5 linked regions of the Oryctolagus cuniculus genome follow. The protein of the gene in region 1 purifies or fractionates together with the protein of each later gene. This does not show direct contact. Links are inferred from orthologs where the notes say so. Each region holds a gene or a part of one and is shown in the gene's direction. Other genes may lie near its edges. The genes, in order: AP1S2, AP1G2, AP2B1, AP1B1 and AP1M1.

Region 1 (4,248 bases):
GGCAGGGAGAAATTTGGGCAGGGGGCCTAAAGAACTATAGAAAGCTAGCTCTGTGGTTTTTGTCGACCCCTTTGTAATATTCCAGTATACATTAATCATACATGTCACCAGGGAACTTTCCAAGTGGCACAGTAATGCAGAAATGGAGAAGCATTACATTTTTTATTTTGCCAAACAAGGGCATTTTCAAATGCCTCCAAACCGCTATTTAGTATCTTAGTTTCATGTTTATTGTAATAACCCTCTCTTCCCTTGCACAGATAACATGATCTCTAATAAAGGGTTCCTTCAAGTTGACTGAATTTACTTTCATGGAAAAAATTTGCGATTTTTACTTTGGGCCATTAAAAAAAATCTGACAACTACGTTTTACAAACCTCTGCAAAAAGGGCATGGCCCAACAAAAGCAATTTTCTAGCTTCCTTTGTAGGAACCCAGTTGACTGGAGTAATGAATAGCATTCGACATGGGAAACCCGTGGCTGTTCAAGCAAGGTCACCTAATCCCGTGGGGCTCCCCTTTCCTTATCTATAAAAGATGAGTTGGACTAGATGATTCATTCATTCCATCATTCAAACACCAAGTATGAACACTGATTACGTGCCCAGCAGTGTGCTCAGCATCACGGCCCTTAACAAATCTATCATTCATTTCAGTCTTTACCAGCCAACTTGTGTTACACACCAAGCAGTGAACTAAGTTGGAATGCAAAATGAATAAATCCAAGACGTGCTAAATACAGACTAATGGACATGTTGGTGAAAAACGTATTCGTTCTTACAGGGTTTTAGGGTGACGCTTCATACTTGTGACATTTGAGAGGAAGGGCATGTCAGGCAGAGCAAGTCGTTGGCCAGGCTAAACCCAGGCGGCTGGTGGGAGCGATCCCGTGTGAAGCAAGCGGGATCTCGAAGACGAAGTGGTGTCTGGGCTTTTCAGCTGAGGACATAACTCATCCAGTCCGCAGCCCTGAAGATGGGCGAGGCAAGCCCAGGGTGCGAAGCTTGTGGTAAAAAGTGTCTGGGCTAGGGCTGTAGCACTGCGATGGGAAGGAGAGGCCGTCTACCTAGCAAAAGGCCCTGTGAACGCATGCAAGGGCTCCGCGAAAGAGCTGCCTTGCTTTCCCCAGAGTTGCAGCACTCCCTTTCTCCTCCCACCATCATCACCGGCCGTCACACCTCCCTATCCCACCCTCTTGGGACACGGAGAGTCATCGGAGCTCGAACTTGGCTCTTCGCGTTCAGAACCTTCTCTGCCTCGAACCACAGGGTCGCCTAAGGTCGCCGCGGAACCACGTCCTCCCGTCACCAAAAGAGCCAAGGCAGCCACCCGCTCGCGTCCCGAAGGCACGAGCCTGAGTACGCAGGCGCGCTGGCTGCTGCCGAGGCCGCTTCCGGGTCACGTGGCCCAACTTCCGGTTCGCACCACTCCTCTCGGTGACGACGCGGCCAATCGGTTTCGTCGGACTACGCGGTCGCCTGCGCCGCCTCCGGGTGCCGTTGGCTGCCGTTGGGCCGCTTCCCGCGCGTCGTCCAGCCCGCCTCTCCGCTAGCCGCAGCCCCAGCTCCTCCCTCGTCCGGCCCCTGGGGCGGAGTCTGTTGGCTCGCCCTCCCCTCGCCGCCTAAGCCTGCTTTCCGACAACTGGGTCCCCTCCCCACAGCAACACGGCGTCTCCTACTCGCCGCGGCGACAGGGGTTTCCCCTCAGCCGCCGCCGCTGCCGGCCGAGCCCAGCCGCACCCGCGGCCCGCGGCTGCCGTAAGTCCCGAGGGCGAGTGGGGACGCTGGGGATGGGGATGGGGAGGGGGAGGGATGGCTGGGCGCGCCCCCCGCCGCCCCGCGCGCGCTCCGACGACCCCACCCCGAGCCCGCCGGCCCGCCACCTGGGCGCCGCGCCCCACAACTCACTTCTTTCCACGTCGGCCCCCCGCAAACCACTGCGCGGCGCCTGGGAATGCGGGGTCTAGTCCGGGGCTCCGCCGGGGCGCCGCGGCACCTGTGGTTCGGGAATCGTCTCAAGTTTTGCGGGGCGTTTTAGGGAGGGGCTGGCGGCCGGGGACGGCGGCGGCCGAGAACTCTTGGCGCCCCCCTGCGCGGCGGCGGATGCCATTGTCTGCTCCGCTCCTTGCCTGTCACCTCGCTCAGGCTTGGTCAGTGATGGAGTGTAGCCCCGGAAGGGGGGGAGGCATCGGAGACGGCGGGACCCAAGGAAAGCTGGTCCCGAGCTCGCTCCGAGGCTGAGCCCATTGTTTTTAAATGCCCGTTTCCCAGAATTGTGGTACCCTGTGATTTGCGGCACAATCAAAGCATTCGTGTTTAATAAGACAGGATACTTGTGCCTTGCAACCGGATTTCGTCCCATGTTAGTACATAATTTATTTTGAGAGAATACGTTGTGTTTTCTTCTTGTAAAGTGGTAGGGCAGATACAGGACCCTGCTCCCGACAGCCTTGAACCCAGACTCTTTTTGGCAAGCAAACCCCCGCCCCTCCTGGCCACCGAGATCAAGGAATACGAGGTTCATTCTCTTCCAAGTTCTGGTAACGGGTTTGCTTTAAATGTCCAGTTGATGCTTCGCTTGCTGCCCCCTTTTCGAATGCCGCTGATTTTGCAACTTACATGGAGGCACTTTGATATCCCTGAGTAATGTCCGTGTATTTTGTGCCACTGAAGCATGTTACGAGCGGTAATAAGCCTTAAGTTTAATAAAGTTAAAATTGTCATGTCGTAAATTGCCAAGTATCTGGTTGATGTCTTTTTGCATTATTTTAATTTCATATCAAATAATTTCATATAGAAATTTAGGGCTCATTTTATTCTATATTGATTGTATAAATTCTCTCTCCCCATGTTCAAGATGGTGTGAGTTTTAAGAATCAGGCTTGAATCTTCTTTGCCATGCTTAAAAGAAAACAGAATACGTATCTGAATTCTATCTTTACATTATCTTGTAGAAATAATACTGTTTGCAGTTGATGACCAGTTGACTTACCATAAGCTTGCCTTTAACAGAACATTCAGACTAATCAACAGATTTGCAGGTTCCAAATAAATACACACAAATTAGGTTAGGTGTTAAAAACACTAGAATTCAGTATCCAATCCATCTGTAGATGCTGTTTTTTATTGTTTTAAATGTAATATTTCATATAATGCCCCTGAATATATCTAATTATTATTTTGACATTTTAAAGATTTGATTTTCATAATATTACATTAACCTGACTCTTAATTATGTGCATATTTATGTTTTTAAAAATGAGATGAAAACAGATACTTTAAGATCAGGATCTTATTAAGAAAAACATGTATTTGTGAGATCCTCTTTTTTGGTGAATATTTTAGCTCATTCTGTTTTTTTTAAAATATGCTAGCATAAATGGAAGAGAGCATTCAAAGTCTACAAGTAATTCACCCTGGGACTAGAAAAGCCTTGGGCTGAAAAATAGTAGATTGCCTGTTTCTTTCAAATGTACCTAAACCAATTGATATCTACAGTTCTCTTTTGATGCATATAGGGAGTGTGGACTGTATGAGCACAGGTAGAAAATAGTTTCTAAATTACAAGGGACAGCTTTTTGTTCAAAAATTTCACTGCAATATACCTGTTTTTTCTTTTTTTTCCCACCCATTCCTCTCCAAACTTATGTGGAACAGAGTGAGATGGGAAGGGAAGGGTTGTATCTAGCAGAAAGATCTTTCTAAAAGAATTTCCTGCTATTTCAAGTGACATAAAAATAATGATAGCTGCTAATTGTCAGTTTAATGCCCTGCTCTCACAGGTTCCTCTGAAAAACATGTATTAACCGTATTGAGTCAAAGTACCGCATGTGATCTTTACTTTACTTGTCTTAACAGATGCAGTTTATGCTGCTTTTTAGTCGTCAGGGGAAGCTTCGACTGCAGAAATGGTATGTCCCACTGTCAGACAAAGAGAAGAAAAAGATCACAAGAGAACTTGTTCAGACTGTTTTAGCACGGAAACCTAAAATGTGCAGCTTTCTTGAGTGGCGAGATCTGAAGATTGTTTACAAAAGGTATAGTTTTTATTTATCAGAAAGGTGTAATAAAAGAGTCAATTGTTAGGTCATTTGTAACATGGAGATGTCAGACTTTTGTTGATCACATTTAGAAATAATGATTAATAAAGATTTAGGAGAAAAATATTTAGAGTAAAGCAGTAAAGCTTTGTATTTTTAAAATAACTGCTGTTTTGATTGATTATCCAGGCTAAAATGATAAAAGGGAA
Region 2 (3,116 bases), on another chromosome or scaffold:
CGGGTATCGGCCTGTCCCACTGTGGCCCGCCTACTGCCCCCCGGCCAGGCACTCGGGTCCTGTTCACTGGTCTCTCCTTCCTACCCCGTCATCCTGTGCCCCGGGGTCCCTGCCCCTGAATGAGCGGGTTGCTCCTCCCCTGACCGCCGCCTCCCTTAGGTCCTAGCTGTCAACATTCTTGGCCGCTTCCTGCTCAACAGTGACAAGAACATTAGGTAACAGACCCAGGTGTCTGGCTGGGCTGTGCCACCGTGTCCTCCAGAGCCCCCTCATCCACCTCCCTCTCACCGGGGCTGCGGGCTGATGGCCATGGCATGATAGAGCCTCCCCGCCCCCCACCCCCCACCCCGAGCAGGTATGTGGCCCTGACATCGCTGCTGCGGCTGGTGCAGTCCGACCACGGGGCCGTGCAGCGGCACCGGCCCACGGTGGTGGAGTGTCTGCAGGAAACCGACGCCTCCCTCAGCCGGTGAGCGGAGAGCAAGGGTTCACCAGGGCAGCAGGGGAGAGGGCCCAGAGCAACTCAGAGCACCTGCAGCAAGGGCATTACAGGGACAGCTGCCTGGAGCAGGGGAGGGTCCGCTTAGGCACTTGTCTTTTTCCCTCCAGGCGGGCCCTGGAGCTGAGCTTGGCCCTGGTGAATAGCTCAAATGTGCGAGCCATGATTCGGGAGCTGCAGGCCTTCCTGGAGTACTGCCCGCCTGACCTCCGGGCTGACTGTGCCTCGGGCATCCTGCTGGCTGCGGAAAGGTGAGGCGACAAGTGCAGGGAAGCAGAGCGGGGCGAGTCTCGGCAGGGTCAGCCCTGATGAGCCATGTCCCCCAGGTTCGCTCCAAGCAAACGGTGGCACATAGACACCATCCTGCACGTGCTGACAACGGTGAGGTGGGGGCTGGCCAGGGAGCGGGGAGGAGTGGGCAGAGCTGAGCATAGTGACCTGGCTGTGTCCTCCCACCCCTCCAGGTAGGCACCCATGTGCGGGATGACGCAGTGGCCAACCTGATCCAGCTGATTGGGGGGGCCCGGGAGTTACACGCCTACTCAGTGTGCCGCCTCTACAGTGCCCTGGCAAATGATATCTCCCAGGTACCGATCCCATCTTCCCAGGCCCAGGGCTGCCCACCTGCTTCCTCCATCCCAATCCATGTCGCAGCTACTTGGTGCAGGAGACACCCAAGGCCAGGGCTGTTTTTTAGTGAGAACACTGGGCTTCTGTCCTGGCCTTGCTACCTACTGGCTGTGTAACCACAGATGACTAATGGGACTTTATTTAAGTTCCTTCTACCCTGCCTGTCCCCCATAGCTGCCGTGAGCATCAGATCAGATCAAAGCTCATTCTGCACGTCTTCGATGTTGCTATTCCCTTGAATGCTGAGTGATTAACCGATGCCAGCCAGCATCTGTAGTGTCCTTTTTCACCTTAAGCCCGGTGGGCCGAAACCACTACCCCTTCCTCTGGGGACCCTCTGCCACCATAGTGCGTTTAGGCCATGTAGTTATAATGCTTGGCCACCAGAGGGCAGTGGGCGCCTGGACACCAGGACAGAGCCAGCTATCAAAGTCACCTCTTCCCACCCTGCCAAGCTCCACTATCTCTGCACTACCTAGGGAGGCTGCAGAGTGTGGGACTGACCCAGACACTGACCTGTGGTGTTTCTCATCCCACACAGCAACCGCTGGTGCAGGTGGCAGCCTGGTGCATTGGGGAATTTGGGGACCTCTTATTAGAGGGAAACTGCGAGGAAACTGAACCCCTTCAGGTGAGACCTGCGTGGGGGTTCACTGGAGAGGGACAGGGTGGGCAGGGCTGGGCCCAGGCTCACTACCTCATCCACGCCCGAAGGTGGAAGAAGAGGAGGTGTTGGCACTGTTGGAAAAGGTGCTGCAGTCCCATCTGTCCCTGCCAGCCACCAGAGCCTACGCCCTCACGGCCCTCATGAAGCTCAGCACCCGGTTCCGCGGGGACAACAAGTGAGGAGGGGGCCGAGCCCTTGAGACTCCCTTCGCTGAGCACCCCTGCAGACACAGGCCCCACTGTTCCCCTGTCCCTAGGGCCAGCTATCCCAGGGGTCTCCTTACTCTGTGCAGCCTCTCCCGGCCCTGCCAGAGCGTGGAGCACAGGGCAGGGCTCACTGCCACTGCCACTCACGTGCCGCACTGTGGCGCAGCCGCATCCGCCAGGTGGTGTCCATCTACGGGAGCTGCGTGGACGTGGAGCTGCAGCAGCGGGCTGTGGAGTATAACACGCTCTTCCGGAAGTACGACCACATGAGGTGTGCCTGGCAGCCCGCTGCAGTGCGGTCTTACTCGGTCCAAGGGTCTCATCCTCGCCTGTGGCCTTCCCCATCCACGTGGGAGCCCCCCCGAGGCTCTCCGATGCTGTGCTGGCTTCCAGCCCTCCGGGCTCACGTGAAACCCAGCAACAGCGCGCTGTCTCAGGAACTCACAAAGGCCCCTCTGACCCGCCCTGTGCCACGGTGCCCTGTGCCACGGCCCCCACCCCCAGATGCTTCCTGTTCCACCCAGAGAGACCCACCCACCCTCCCACCTCTCAGGGCTGCCATTCTTGAAAGGATGCCTCTGGTGGAGCGAGGCGGCACTCGGGTTGAAGAGGAAGAAAAGGAAAGCAACAAGGCTGCCCAGCTTTCGGAAGCCGCGGCCCCTGTCCCCGCAGAGCCCCAGGTGAGGGAGGCAGAAACCCTGGGATGAGGCGGCCTGGGTGGAGCCTCCACACCCAGCCCTGAGCCTTCCGTCCTTGGCCCAGGCCTCCAAGCTCTTGGATCTGCTGCACCTCCTGGACGGCTCTTCTGGGGAGGCCCCATGCCCGCCTCCTCAGGATCCCCCCCCTGGAGGCACCTTAGTACACCTCCTCGACCTTCCCTGTGCACCTGCACCCCCAGGTGAGCTGCAGCAGAGGGAAGACGCCTCAGAGAAGGCTGCTCCTGGTCCTGAGCCAGGGACCGAGGCTCGTCACCCTTCCCACGCCTGGGTCCCCCAGCCCCTTCCCAGCAGGGGGAGGGGTCACTCTATCACGCCTCTCTTTTGTCTTTTTACCTTGGCCTGTGGGCCCCGCCCATCTCATGCCACAACCCCCATCACTACTCCACTGGCCCTCA
Region 3 (4,047 bases), on another chromosome or scaffold:
TTTTTCTAGCCCCTCCTTTTTTTTTTTTTTTTTAAGGAAATTTATTTATTTGAAAGACAGAGGTCTTCCATCTCTGGTTCATTCCCCAAATGGCCACAATGGCCAGAGCTGAACCAATCCGAAGCCAGGAGCCCGGAGCTTCTTCCTGGTCTCCCACGTGGGTGCAGGGGTCATCCTCTGCTGCCTTCCCAGGTACGCTAGCAGGGAGTTGGATGGGAAGTGGAGCAGCCAGGACTTTAGCTGACGCCCATATGGGATGCCAGCACTGCAGCCTGGGGTTTTAATCTGCTGCGCCATAGTGCCAGCCCCTATTTTTCCAGCCTTTTTGCATATGCAGTCATGTCGCAGGTATTGTTTTGTGTACTTTTTAAGCTTAACCGTTTTATCAAGATTTTCTTGCATTATAAAATATTCTTCGACAACATTATACAGTTCTCTAATTTATCACAAATGTTTAATTTCCAACTTCTCCTATGTTAATAACAGCATAATAATACATAAGTGTTATATGAAGTCTTTATATACTTCAAATTACTTCCTGCAGAATGAAACTTCAAAATATTTTATTTTGATACTCCCAGAATTGATGGGCAAAAATTTGGAAGAAAAAACCCCAACCCTCTCTCTTCTCCCTCACACCCTCACATAAACCTTAGGGAGAGCCTGGTTCGCTGACAGTTTCCTGCGCCCTCGTCAACTTTTTCCTCCAGTTTTAGATCTTAGAATCTAGGGCGTAGTTCCCGAAAGCGCCTTACTTTTGTGTTAGTAGGTCTACTACATTCTCAGCATAGTGCTTCTTTATCTCATTTAAGCTTCACAAGACAAGAAGACTAAGGTTATTAAACTACTTTCCCAGTCGCACCGGGGCAGGGAATTGAACTCACGAACTCACATGATGCCGCCTCAACCTCTTTTCCTCGCATCACTGCCTATGAGTTCTGGGCTGGATCACTGTTGTTTTCTGCTGGACCGCCTGCCAGGGAAATTAGCCGATGTTTTAATTTTTTTTTAATAGAAGGGAACAGGATACTTCAATTCCTTGCGAGGAAACAATTCCAGCGAATTTCAGCTTGTTTAATATATCCCTTGGAATAGCCATTAACCATCCTCTGAGGCCCAGGTCTCCAAGCCTTGCCTGAACCAAGGCTGGGTGGGGGAGGGGAGGGCAGGACGCTTTTTCGTCTCCAAGGTAACGGGTCGCCGCCTTTCTGGTTCTCCCGCGCACTCCGACTACGTCACGCGGCGAGGTTCTCTGACGTCAGGGTTTCCGGCCCACCATCTTTGTCGCTGGCAAAGTGGGTTTTGCGCAGTGGCTTAGACCTAGAGAAAGAATCGTGACGGGCAGGAAACCATTACAACACCACCCGGGCTGTGCTCTCTGGCTGCTCCCGCCACCCCCGCCCTTGCCTCCGGTGAGTTCAAGGCAGCTGACTCTGGGGTGTGTGTTCCTTAATTGATTGGGGTGGGGGAGAGGGAGGAGATCCACAGGCTGAGTCGAAGGCGAGCGGAGGCGAGGAAATCTTAGGAGCGTGACCGTTGAGGGTGGAGGCAGCCGTCGGGTGTGACCGTTGTGAGGAAAAGGCTTGGAGGAGAGGTCTCCGCCGCGGTGGCTGTGGTGGGCTGAGGGAATCCTCGGGGGTGGCAGCTCGAGGTGCGTGGGGGGAGGTCTGTTTCCAAGTCGGGGTTCGCACGGGCCAGAGGCCAGGGGTGTGGCCGGAGGCCGAGGGGAGAACCTTCCTTCTTCCCCCTTCGCCGACGTGCATTGAGAGGCTGGGACGTGTCCAGCGAGCGAAAGGCAAGAGGGATTCCCCCGAAGCTTTGCCCGTTAATGGACACACCTCGCGCGTCTCCGTAACTTGAGGCTGGGGACACCTCTCCCTTATCTCGTAATGGAGGCCTCCCACCTGGAAGCAGAAGAGCCATTCCTGACACTTTTAGGGAAACCTCCGGAATCGGCCCGATGTGAGAGGGGAAGCGGTACATTCTCTGCTCGGATTTTTTTTTTTTTTTCTTTTCTGGATTTAGCAGGAACAGTCTGGCTTGGGGAAGGCTGCAGACGAAGGCAGAAGTTCAGAAATTGGAACTTCCTGTTATTTTCATACTCTCTGAATCCAAAGATTTTAAGCTGCTGGGTTGTTTTCATAGCAGGGGAGGCCAGGCTGTTCCTGTGCTCGCTCGGCCGCTTCATTATGAAGTGTGGATGTTTCGTAAAACTTTGACCTTTCAGAAAATACGCCTTTTTTTTTTTAACTGTCAAACTCCGTTACCACATAGTATTGTGGTTTAAAAGCAAAAGTAAAGAAATACGCTCGGAAAGGCAGAATGACTAAGAAGGAAGGTGGTCTTAATGAGGAACGGTTAGTTCCCGCCCGGTGTAGGTCCGCAGCGTAGCCTCGGGGTGCACTCACACAGTAATAATAGAAGGCAGCAGGTGAAGGAGGTGCAGGTAACACGTTGTAAGGATGACTAAGCCTGGTGGGGAGGTGAGAAGCCTTCGCAGGTAGCTTAGCAGTTGGAAGTCCCCAGGGGAGCAGACAGGCGCCTGTGTTCTGCCAACAGCCTTGCCCACGTTGAGTGGCAAAATGGATGTAAAGCTCACTCGTTCTCTTTGAGTCCGGGACGTTCAGGTCTCTCATCCTTGTTTGTCTTCCCCTTTAAGGCCCATATTGTGAAGTAGTATGTCTCAGGTGCGGGTTTGAACCAAGGACAGGTTCTCCATTCCTTCTTCCCTTCCTCCCAGGCTTACATTTTCCGGGCTTATGATATTTCAGTTAAGAATTGGAGGTCAAACTTTGAGCTTTCTTTCTGTGTATTACTGTATTAACTTTGCAGTTTCTTGTATTTAAATAGAAATCACAGGTGATTTTGGCTTTTCAGGGTTTGATAATTTCTTATGAGCCAAATGATATTTAAAGATACTGTTGTCTTTTCACTGTTGTTGAATATTTAATTAGAAATGGAAACAGCACCTCTCCCGTTATTTTTATTAAAAAAAAGATTATTGGAATGACCTTTCTGCTTTATAATTCTGTTAATTTGGGCCAGTTTTTCACTTTGAACCTTAAATGTGTGAATCTCAAATTTATGTGAAAAGAAGGGCTTAGTGAGTTCATCAGCTCTAATTTGGCCACCATTTCCCAGAGAGCCGTTTAAAATTAAGATCCTATTAATTTTTTTCTGCCCTTATTTTACCCAAGCTATTAATCTTACGTCAGTCTTTGCCTTTTGGGGAACTGAGGGGAGGAGGGAGGAATAGAAGAGGGACTTTCACAACCTGTATCTGGCAGAAACTAGGCTGTGTTAAATCTAGATACATCATCCTGTGCGGGAGGCCCTCCCGAAATGCAGGGACATCCCTCTCTGGACTGGGCCAAGTGAGAGTGATTATGCGCTCTGACCCTGGAGCTTTGTTGTTCAACAGTGGCCCTGGGCCGACCCTAAGTCTTCAGAATGTCCAGTGACTTGTCTGATTTAATCTGGTAGAAAGATGATGTGGGCTTAAATTCCATCATGGCTTTGCTTATTTCTGGAGCTCTCCAGAGAAATAGTTTTGTTTTTGTGGCAGGAATTTGACTTTTTAAGGCACATCAGCAAATACTTGCTTGTTTGTTTTTGTTTCTTGAACTCCATCTTGTCTACTTTTCTGTGACCTCCTATACAGACTTCAGTTTTCACCATCCTGAATTTTAGAGAATCTTGGCTATGTCCATATTTATCAAATGATTAACTATATCTCATCTAAAACACAACTTTTTTAAGGTGAAATTTGCATAACATAAAATTAATCATTTTATAGTGAACAGTGGCACTTTTGGTACATTCACAGAATGGTGCAACGACCACCTCTTCCCATTTGTTTTTGTTGAGACTGTTTTCATTTTTATTTCTTTTTTAAAATTAATTAATTTATTTTAAAGTCAGAATTACAGAGGGAGAAGGAGAGAGACAGAGAGTGAGATCTTCGATCTGCTTGTTCACTCCTCAAATGGACACAACAGCCAGGGCTGGGCCAGGCTGAAGCCAGGAGCCAGGAGCTTCATCTGAGTC
Region 4 (3,511 bases), on another chromosome or scaffold:
CCAGAGGAGGAGGCCCTTGAGACTCGAGTGACAAGGGCAGCCAAGCAGCAGAGGGCCTGCCACACGAGGGCTCCTCCTAGGTACTGTCCTTGCTCTGACCAGTTTCTGCGATTCTGGGCCAGCCCTGCCCCCTGCACAGTACAGGCTGTGACAGCTGGGGTGCCGCCGGGCACTTCGCTCTGTCCTTGGCTTGTGCGGAGACTGGCAGGGCACACTGTCTGGTCGTCTCCTCAGCCCACTTCCCCCATATCCTTTTCTGACCATTTTCCTCTCTGACCTCGACTCTCAGAGCAGCCCTTGAGCACGCCCAGCACCTTTGCAGCGCGAGCTGCTCAGTGCGAGGCCACGGGCTCATTCTCCTCCCCTGAGGTCAGTGGTCAACCCCTAGGAAGCAAAGCAGGGTGCTCAGTCTGGGAGGCCCCTCCAGGAGAGAAAGAAAAGGGACCCTGGGGTGGGCCCTTGTGTCTGGGCCAGGACCTGGCACATGCCAGCCACCCCCCTCCCCCTTCTTGCAGGTCTGGCTCCCGGCCATGAAGGCTAAGGGGCTGGAGATCTCGGGCACCTTCACACGCCAGGTGGGCGCCATCTCCATGGACCTGCAGCTCACCAACAAGGCCCTACAGGTCATGACCGACTTTGCAATCCAGTTCAACCGCAACAGGTAAGCTCCCGAGGCCAGCCACCTGCAGGCAGGGGCTGAGGGCCCCGGGGAGCTGGAGCGGGTGGCATTGCTCACCACCCTACAGGCCGGAACTCTCTTCCCTCCATGGCCACTTTCGTGGACTCTGCAGTCCCAGAAAGAGTGGGGAGAGTGTTTCCCCAGTGGCAGCCCAGGAGCTGGCCCTTGGCAAACACCCCACCTGTCAGGAGGGTCTGTCCCCCAGTGAGCCTGCCCCTGCAGGCAGGGCCTCAGGGGTGAGCCCTGCTCCAGGCCGTCAGCCCTGCCAGGTCCCCGCACAGCGAGTGACAGGAAGGCTACCTGTCTGTACCACCGTGGGTCAGGCCAGGGCTCTGGAGACCAAGCAGCCCCTCCTGATGATCCCTCTTCCTGAGCGGCTCCAGTGATGAGCAAACTGAGCCTCTAAGAAGTTGACTGAAGGGGCTGCTTCCTCGGGGAGCCGTGGCCAGGGACACCCCCACCCTCCGGCAGACAGGGAGGCTGGGGCAGCTCCTCCCCTTCCGCTCAACAGACCCTGTCGGCCACAGACATGCTCCAGGCTGGTCACTCAGAAAAACCTGCTGGCTGGAACACTGTGCCCAGGGCTCTGGGGGTATTGTCTCACTTGAAGCAGGTGACAGCCCGTCAAGTCAGGGCCATTACCTCTGGGCTCAGGGCAGGTAGGTTGCCCCAGGTCACGCAGCAGGCAGTGGCGGAGCTCCCAGGAAAGCCTGTAGTGCGGGGCCACTGCGCGGGCCTGGGTCGCCCGCTGCTTCTCCCGCTGTGTCCCAGGCAGGCAGCTCGAGCTCTGACTCAGCACTGTCACTCACCTGTAGAGCAGACGTGGACCTGGCCCTCCTTGAGGTACACCATCTTCACCTGGAAGATGAGGCGATGTGTGCCTGTCTCTGTTTCCTGAGCTTGGGAATTGGTATCAAGTCAAATGCCAGCCTGGGCGGATGGAGCCCCCAGTCCATGCTGTGTCTGACAAGGATCTGAGTCTCCCCATTTGCTTATGTGCTGCCGTAGAGAAGCAGGGCTTTCCTGAAACTGGCCATCATGTGACCTGGCCAGTGCTGCCCTAGACAGTAAATCCCAGTGCCCGATGGGGTTCACATCCTTCCTAGGGAGTGGGTGTGGGCAGCAGAGACTTGGGCAGCCACAGAGCTTTGCCACAGGCTGTTGGTAGGAGGAAGAGCTTGTGGAGGGAGGACAGGCAGGGCCTTGCTTGTCTGAGGCTGCCCAGTGCCCCCCAGGCCAGCGTCGGCCAGCGCTGGGCTGGGCTGGGCAGAGCCTGCAGCCTGGGGCCCTTTCCTCCTGTGCCACAGCCACTGAGGGGCCTGGGAGCTCGTGAGCCTGTCCTGCCCCAGGACTGCAGCTCGGCTGAGGCAGCTTGGGGAGGAGCCCACCTGTGCCCGGTCAGCACCTGCTGCCCAGCTGTGCCTGCGGGGGCTTCTCTCTCCCTAGCTTTGGCCTGGCCCCCGCCGCCCCCCTCCAGGTCCACGCACCACTGAGCCCCAACCAGACTGTGGAGATCTCGCTGCCTCTTAACACGGTGGGCTCGGTCATGAAGATGGAGCCCCTGAACAACCTCCAGGTGGGTCCCCCCCCCGCCGTGGCAAAGGGGCATGGGTGCCGGGAGGGACGTCCTGCCTGGGGCTGACGGGCGCCTCTGCCTAGGTGGCCGTGAAGAACAACATAGACGTCTTCTACTTCAGCACCTTGTACCCTCTGCACATCCTCTTTGTGGAGGACGGGAAAATGGGTGAGTCGTGAAGGCCCCAAGCAGGGGCCAGGGCTTAGGAACCTGGCCCAGCTGGCGCTTGCCCAAGGCCTGGATGGTTTCGCCTGCCCCTTGACTGGGTCCTTGCGAAGCCTGTCCCAAGGGGCATGCCTGGCCAGCAGGTGGGCTGTGCCACACAGGGTCATCTCACTTGCAGGCTCTCCTGCCTGCTCTCAGCCTTGTCCCAGGGGTGGCAGGGACCCCAGGTCATGTCCCGTGACTGGCACTCACTGCTTTTGTACCCAGAGGCCTTAGCCATGCCCTGGGCTGCCGGGATTGTCTCTCACTTGACCCAGGAGGAAGCCCCATGAGGCAGGTGTGACTGACAGGCTGCCCTGCCCGGGCAGGAGGCCGGCATGTGGTGGGGTGGAGGTGGGCGGCAGGAAGCCCAGGGTCCCTCGGGAGCAGCTCTCGGGCCTCCTCACAGAACTGAGGGTGTGCTCGGCTTGGGGCTGTGCGGGCGCTGGTGCCCGTCCTGAATTTCAGGCGGCACACTGGACACAGGCCCATGGCCTGTTCCAGGTGGTTGAGGGGCCACGGGTTTATGAGGGTCCCCCTCACCTTCCAGACCGGCAGATGTTCCTGGCCACATGGAAAGATATCCCCAATGAGAACGAAGCCCAGTTCCAGATCAGAGACTGCCCCCTCAATGCGGGTGAGAACCCCCCAGCCCGACCTTGAGCCCTGGCTGGGCCTTGGCTGGCCCTGGGCCACTGCCCTCTGACTGGGTCCTCTCGGGTCCTCCCGACCTCACAGAGGCCGTGAGCAGCAGGCTGCAGAGCAGCAACGTCTTCACCATCGCCAAGCGGAACGTGGAGGCCCAGGACATGCTCTACCAGTCCCTGAGGCTGACCAATGGCATCTGGGTGCTGGCCGAGCTGCGCATACAGCCCGGCAACCCCAACCTCACGGTGAGCGCCCCGTGCCTACCAGGCGCCCCAGCCGGGGGCGGCTCTGATGGGGATGCTGCGCCAGGGGTCCCCCTGAGCCTGCCGCGAGCAGGAAGGCACCTTTCTAGGGAGCTTCCAGCTCAGCCCTGCCAGGTCACCCACAAAAGCCTCCAAGTGGGT
Region 5 (4,174 bases), on another chromosome or scaffold:
ACAGACACCTGAAACAGAAGTAGCACTTCCGGTGAGCTGGTTCAGGAGCAGCACTTCCGGTGAACAGCAGAAACCACTTCGGTGAGCTGCAGCAGTAGCATCACTTCCGGTGAGCCCGGAGCACCCGCAGCACTCTTCTTCCAGGCGCCTCTAATGGGTGTCCAGTGCCAAGGCAGACATTGCTAATCGATCGCGACGTTCCTCACCGTGGAAACCTTGGAGCACTGGTCCCTGAGTGGGCACGCGTGTGCTGTGATGCGGCGGCCGCGATGTTGGGAAAAACAGTGTCCGGGGGCCGCGCCGGGGCGGGGGCTGTCTGTGTAAAAGCCGCAGAATAAAGCAAAAGCGTCACTGAAGAGGAGTCTGGGCGTCTGATTGCCTGAGCCATAGCGGCCGGAGATGACTCCTGCCCTCTGTGCCGCGGGCTGGGTGCCCAGCGGGGAGCGCCTGACAGGCACCCAGCCCACCTGCTCATCCGGCGGGCCGGAGCGAAACCAGGGTCTCAGGGGAACGGCGGGAGGGCGCGGACCCAGCAGGAAGCAGTGTCCCGGGTAGCACTGGGATGCACCTGGCGCAGCAGGTAAAGCCTCCGCCCGCAGTGCTGGCATCACACAGGGGCGCCGGTTCGAGTCCCGGCTGCTCCATTTCTGATCCAGCTCTCTGCTGTGGCCTGGGAAAGCAGTACAAGACGGCCCAGGTCCTTGGACCCCTGCACCTGCGTGGGAAACCCGGATGGAGCTCCTGGCTTCGATTTGGCTCTGCTCCGGCCGTTGCGGCCATCTGGGGAGTGAACCAGCAGATGGAAGACCTCCCCCCACCCCCGTAACTCTGTCTTTAAAATAAATAAAATTTTTTCTAAAAACATTTCAGCTGAAGAATGCAGACACGCCGTTGGTTATGACCCGACCAGGGCCGCTAAAAATGTAGCAGGAAAGCACACGTGCCCAGCAGTGGCTTGCGGTTTTTCACGAGGGCATTCCGAGCAGTAAACCGCGGGCTGGCGCGGTGACCCACGTGGACACTGACAGGTGGCCGGAGGAGGCGGGAGGCCAGAGCTTGACCTCTGCACAGAGAAGCACCGCCTTCGCCCTGCCCTAGGACGCGTCACCCCTGGTGGCTGTGTGTAGGCTACGCTCCCCGGCCAGGCCGAGCTCCACGGGTCTGGACCCGCCCGGCTTCACCAGAGCGCCGCGGCCGGCCGGAGTCGCCCCGATTCCGCCGGCCCCGCCCCCCGCGCCCCACTTCCGGCCGCTCGAGGAGCGCAGCGAGAAATACGGTCTTCCCGGGCGTACTGCGCCTGCGCCTAGCCCTCCCGCACCTGCGCAGACCTGGCCGCCCCGCCCCCCTCGCCCTCAGCCCGGACATAACGGTCCGCGCGCGGCGCTCCGGGCCGGAAGTGGAGGGGAACCGTCGCCGGGCGCGCCCGGCCTCGCCCCACGCCCGGCCGTGCCCGCCGCCGCCGCCCTCGGTTGCCGCCGAGGCCTCCCGCAGCCGCCATGTCCGCCAGCGCTGTGTACGTGCTGGACCTGAAGGGCAAGGTACTGAGCGCTCCCCACCCAGCCTCCCCGCTGCCGAGTAACCGGCGGGGGCCTCGCCCTGTTAGGTAAACGACCCGTGGACCCCACCCAGCGGTAGGCGAGGCGGCCGGGCGGCCCCACCCGAGGGTCCCCCACCCAGCAGGGCGGGGGTCTCCAGTCCGCGAGGCCCGCCCTGCTGCCAGGTGGCGAGGTGGGCTGCCGCCTCCGCCGTTGCCAGGTAACGGGCGACGCCGCCCCTCCCCTGCACCCCACCCACCCCCACCGCCGCGTGCCCGCTGGCGATTCGGGCCGGGGTCTCGGGCCTCCGCGGCGGGGAGGGCGGGCCGCAGCCGGCCCCCGGCGTGGGAGGGGTGGGTGGACGGCGCGACCCTTGGCCGGAGGTGGCCAGGCGTGGCGGGGGGTGGTGGACAGCGTGCGCTCGCGGCCGGTCCCGCCTTCTCCCGGGCGCCGCCACCCCGTGGGAACCGCTGACGTCATCGTGACACTGAGTGAGGTTAGGGTTAAGGTGGCGTGGGCGGTGGACAGAGTGGGGAAACCGAGGCACGGAGTGGGCCCGGCGTTTGCAGGGGGCCCAGCAGCCGGGAGGGGCAGGTGTCCTGTGTCCTGGGTTCGGTGCCCGCCTCCGTCCACGCAGAGCCTGGGAGGCCCGGGTCGCTGGGGCCCCGCCACGCGCCTGGCGGGCCCGGGTCCGGTGCTCTGTTTGCAGCTGCAGCCGCCGCCAGGCGCCCTTCCTCTGGGCATCTGGGGGAGCCAACCAGCCGATCGCTGTGTTTGTCTCTTTCTGTGCCTTGCAGACAAAACCAGAAAAAGTTTATTTGGGTGCAAAAAAAATGTTTTTAATCGGTGCATAGGTTTTTTTTTTTTTTTCTCATAAACTTTTCCCTCGTGCGCATAGATTTCGGGGGGAAAATTGCCTCCAATTTTTTTTAACTTATTTGTTTCAAAGGCAGAGTTACAGAAAGAGAGGGAGAGAGAGAGAGGTCTTCCATCCGCTGGTTCACTCCCCAGTTGGCCTCATCGGCTGGAGCTGTGCCGATCTAGAGCCAGGAGCCAGGAGCTACTTCCGGGTCTCCCACGCAGGTGCAGGGGCCCAAGCACTTGGCCCATCTTCCACTGCTTTCCCAGGCCAGAGCAGAGAGCTGGATGGGAAGAGGAGCAGCTGGGACTAGAACCGGCCCTCATATGGGATGGCAGTGCTGCAGGCGGCGGTTTTACCCGCTCTGCCACTGCGCCGGCCCCAGCCCTGATTCCATTGCCCGTGACCTCTGAGAAGCCCCCTCATCAGGGCGGCAGGGGCTTCCCTGGGGGAGGGGCCAGGTGTGGCCGAGACCCAGGCATGTTTCCCAGGGGCCTGTGAGAGCAGCGCTGGCCAGGCCACCTCCCCACATGGGAGCCAGAACTGGGAGAGGCGCGGGTGCCGCCTGAGCCCGGGAGCAGGTGAGCGCGGCCGCCCCTTCCTGCTCCACCCGGCGCCCTCCCCAAGTCCCTGGCCCTCTGCTTGCTTTGGAAGCCACCCAAGAGCTGCAGCTCACGAGGCCGCCTGCAGGGCTTCTGAGCCCGGCCAGACCCGGGAAGCGGGAAAGACGACTTCCCCGAAGCTGCCCGGCTCCTTCCGCCAACGTGTCGGAGCCTCTCGCGCGACCCCAGCCTGTGGCCAGGTACAGGGTGGCCACGGGCCAGGCACAGGGTGGCCACAGTGCTGCCGCTGGCCGCGGCTGTGCACAGTGCCCGGGGAAGCTCAGGCCCCATGGGGGCTCAGCTCTGCCACCCTGTGCAGGGGAGCACTGGGGAGGAGGCGCTTCCCTCTCTGGGCCTCGCCTTTCCCTCCCCAGAGGCTTTGACAGGGCTGGCGTGGTGAGGTCAGGAGATACCGGCCCCACAGGCCCGGGACAAGGTCCTGGCAGTGCAGCTGGGGAAGGGGGAGGCGGGTGCCCCAGTGGGCTGAACGAGGTGACCAGGCGGCAGGTGGAAAGGAGGCGTCCGGTGGGCCGCAGGGCGGGACGCACACACACACACACACACACACACACACCCCCGCCAGCCCTCCGCAGCCGGGACGCCCCATATCAGAGGTTTCGAAAGTCTGCCTCCTGCACTGAAGTGTTTGCTCAGAAGTAAGGCAACAGCGCCTTGAGCAATCCGTGCCAGCCGCGGGCGCCCCGTGGGTGGGCAGAAGCTCTCCCCGGGCACCTGTCCACCTGCGGCCCAGAGCCCCTTCCCGCCTCTTCTGCTCTCGCCCGTTGACTGTTGGGTTCCGAGGGGGTGGGGCCCAGTCGTGTCTCCCCACAGTGCCCCTCTTCCCAGGCCCACATCCAGACAGCTTATCTGGAGAGCCACTGGCCTCCAGGGTGCTGAGTGGTCCCTGCCATGCCCAGACTTGCTGTCCCTTCTGTGTCCACGCTGGAGCCCCGGTGTTACTCTGGCCTTCTCCTCCCCACCCACATGGCCGCTGCACAGATGTTTCCTGGGCACCCGCCGCGGGCCAGGCTGTGTCCTGGGTGCTGGGGCACAGCTGTGAGAGACCCCAGAGCAGCCGCTGTTCTCAGGGAACCTCAGACAAATGAGGACACAGATGTGTGTATAGCCTGGCAGAGGGGACAGGCAGGGAGGACTTCCTGGAGGAGGTGCCGTCTGAG

The links.
Region 2: the proteins of AP1S2 (region 1) and AP1G2 purify together in Homo sapiens (affinity purification with mass spectrometry; 3 studies listed by BioGRID and IntAct, counting the BioPlex papers as one, with this or other methods). This does not show direct contact. The link is inferred for Oryctolagus cuniculus from reciprocal best matches to the Homo sapiens genes AP1S2 and AP1G2.
Region 3: the proteins of AP1S2 (region 1) and AP2B1 purify together in Homo sapiens (affinity purification with mass spectrometry; 3 studies listed by BioGRID and IntAct, counting the BioPlex papers as one, with this or other methods). This does not show direct contact. The link is inferred for Oryctolagus cuniculus from reciprocal best matches to the Homo sapiens genes AP1S2 and AP2B1.
Region 4: the proteins of AP1S2 (region 1) and AP1B1 purify together in Homo sapiens (affinity purification with mass spectrometry; 5 studies listed by BioGRID and IntAct, counting the BioPlex papers as one, with this or other methods). This does not show direct contact. The link is inferred for Oryctolagus cuniculus from reciprocal best matches to the Homo sapiens genes AP1S2 and AP1B1.
Region 5: the proteins of AP1S2 (region 1) and AP1M1 fractionate together in Homo sapiens (co-fractionation; 6 studies listed by BioGRID and IntAct, counting the BioPlex papers as one, with this or other methods). This does not show direct contact. The link is inferred for Oryctolagus cuniculus from reciprocal best matches to the Homo sapiens genes AP1S2 and AP1M1.

What each region holds. Positions count from the first base shown.
Region 1 is NC_091453.1:1,997,425-2,001,672, reverse strand, and holds the start of AP1S2 (AP-1 complex subunit sigma-2), read left to right. Parts: upstream 1-1,441; 5' UTR 1,442-1,757; intron 1,758-1,907; exon of another isoform or gene 1,908-2,025; intron 2,026-3,857; coding exon 3,858-4,036; intron 4,037-4,248. UniProt on the Homo sapiens protein: Subunit of clathrin-associated adaptor protein complex 1 that plays a role in protein sorting in the late-Golgi/trans-Golgi network (TGN) and/or endosomes.
Region 2 is NC_091443.1:51,513,817-51,516,932, forward strand, and holds part of AP1G2 (AP-1 complex subunit gamma-like 2), read left to right. Parts: coding exon 1-3; intron 4-159; coding exon 160-215; intron 216-355; coding exon 356-469; intron 470-609; coding exon 610-750; intron 751-825; coding exon 826-880; intron 881-963; coding exon 964-1,086; intron 1,087-1,670; coding exon 1,671-1,760; intron 1,761-1,843; coding exon 1,844-1,971; intron 1,972-2,168; coding exon 2,169-2,273; intron 2,274-2,555; coding exon 2,556-2,682; intron 2,683-2,764; coding exon 2,765-2,900; intron 2,901-3,116.
Region 3 is NC_091448.1:39,031,369-39,035,415, reverse strand, and holds the start of AP2B1 (AP-2 complex subunit beta), read left to right. Parts: upstream 1-1,241; 5' UTR 1,242-1,412; exon of another isoform or gene 1,413-1,651; intron 1,652-1,658; exon of another isoform or gene 1,659-1,977; intron 1,978-4,047. UniProt on the Homo sapiens protein: Component of the adaptor protein complex 2 (AP-2). Adaptor protein complexes function in protein transport via transport vesicles in different membrane traffic pathways.
Region 4 is NC_091452.1:22,748,422-22,751,932, reverse strand, and holds part of AP1B1 (AP-1 complex subunit beta-1), read left to right. Parts: intron 1-515; coding exon 516-661; intron 662-1,015; exon of another isoform or gene 1,016-1,112; intron 1,113-2,125; coding exon 2,126-2,255; intron 2,256-2,338; coding exon 2,339-2,423; intron 2,424-3,009; coding exon 3,010-3,096; intron 3,097-3,197; coding exon 3,198-3,352; intron 3,353-3,511. UniProt on the Homo sapiens protein: Subunit of clathrin-associated adaptor protein complex 1 that plays a role in protein sorting in the late-Golgi/trans-Golgi network (TGN) and/or endosomes.
Region 5 is NC_091447.1:64,728,572-64,732,745, forward strand, and holds the start of AP1M1 (AP-1 complex subunit mu-1), read left to right. Parts: upstream 1-1,366; 5' UTR 1,367-1,496; coding exon 1,497-1,538; intron 1,539-4,174. UniProt on the Homo sapiens protein: Subunit of clathrin-associated adaptor protein complex 1 that plays a role in protein sorting in the trans-Golgi network (TGN) and endosomes.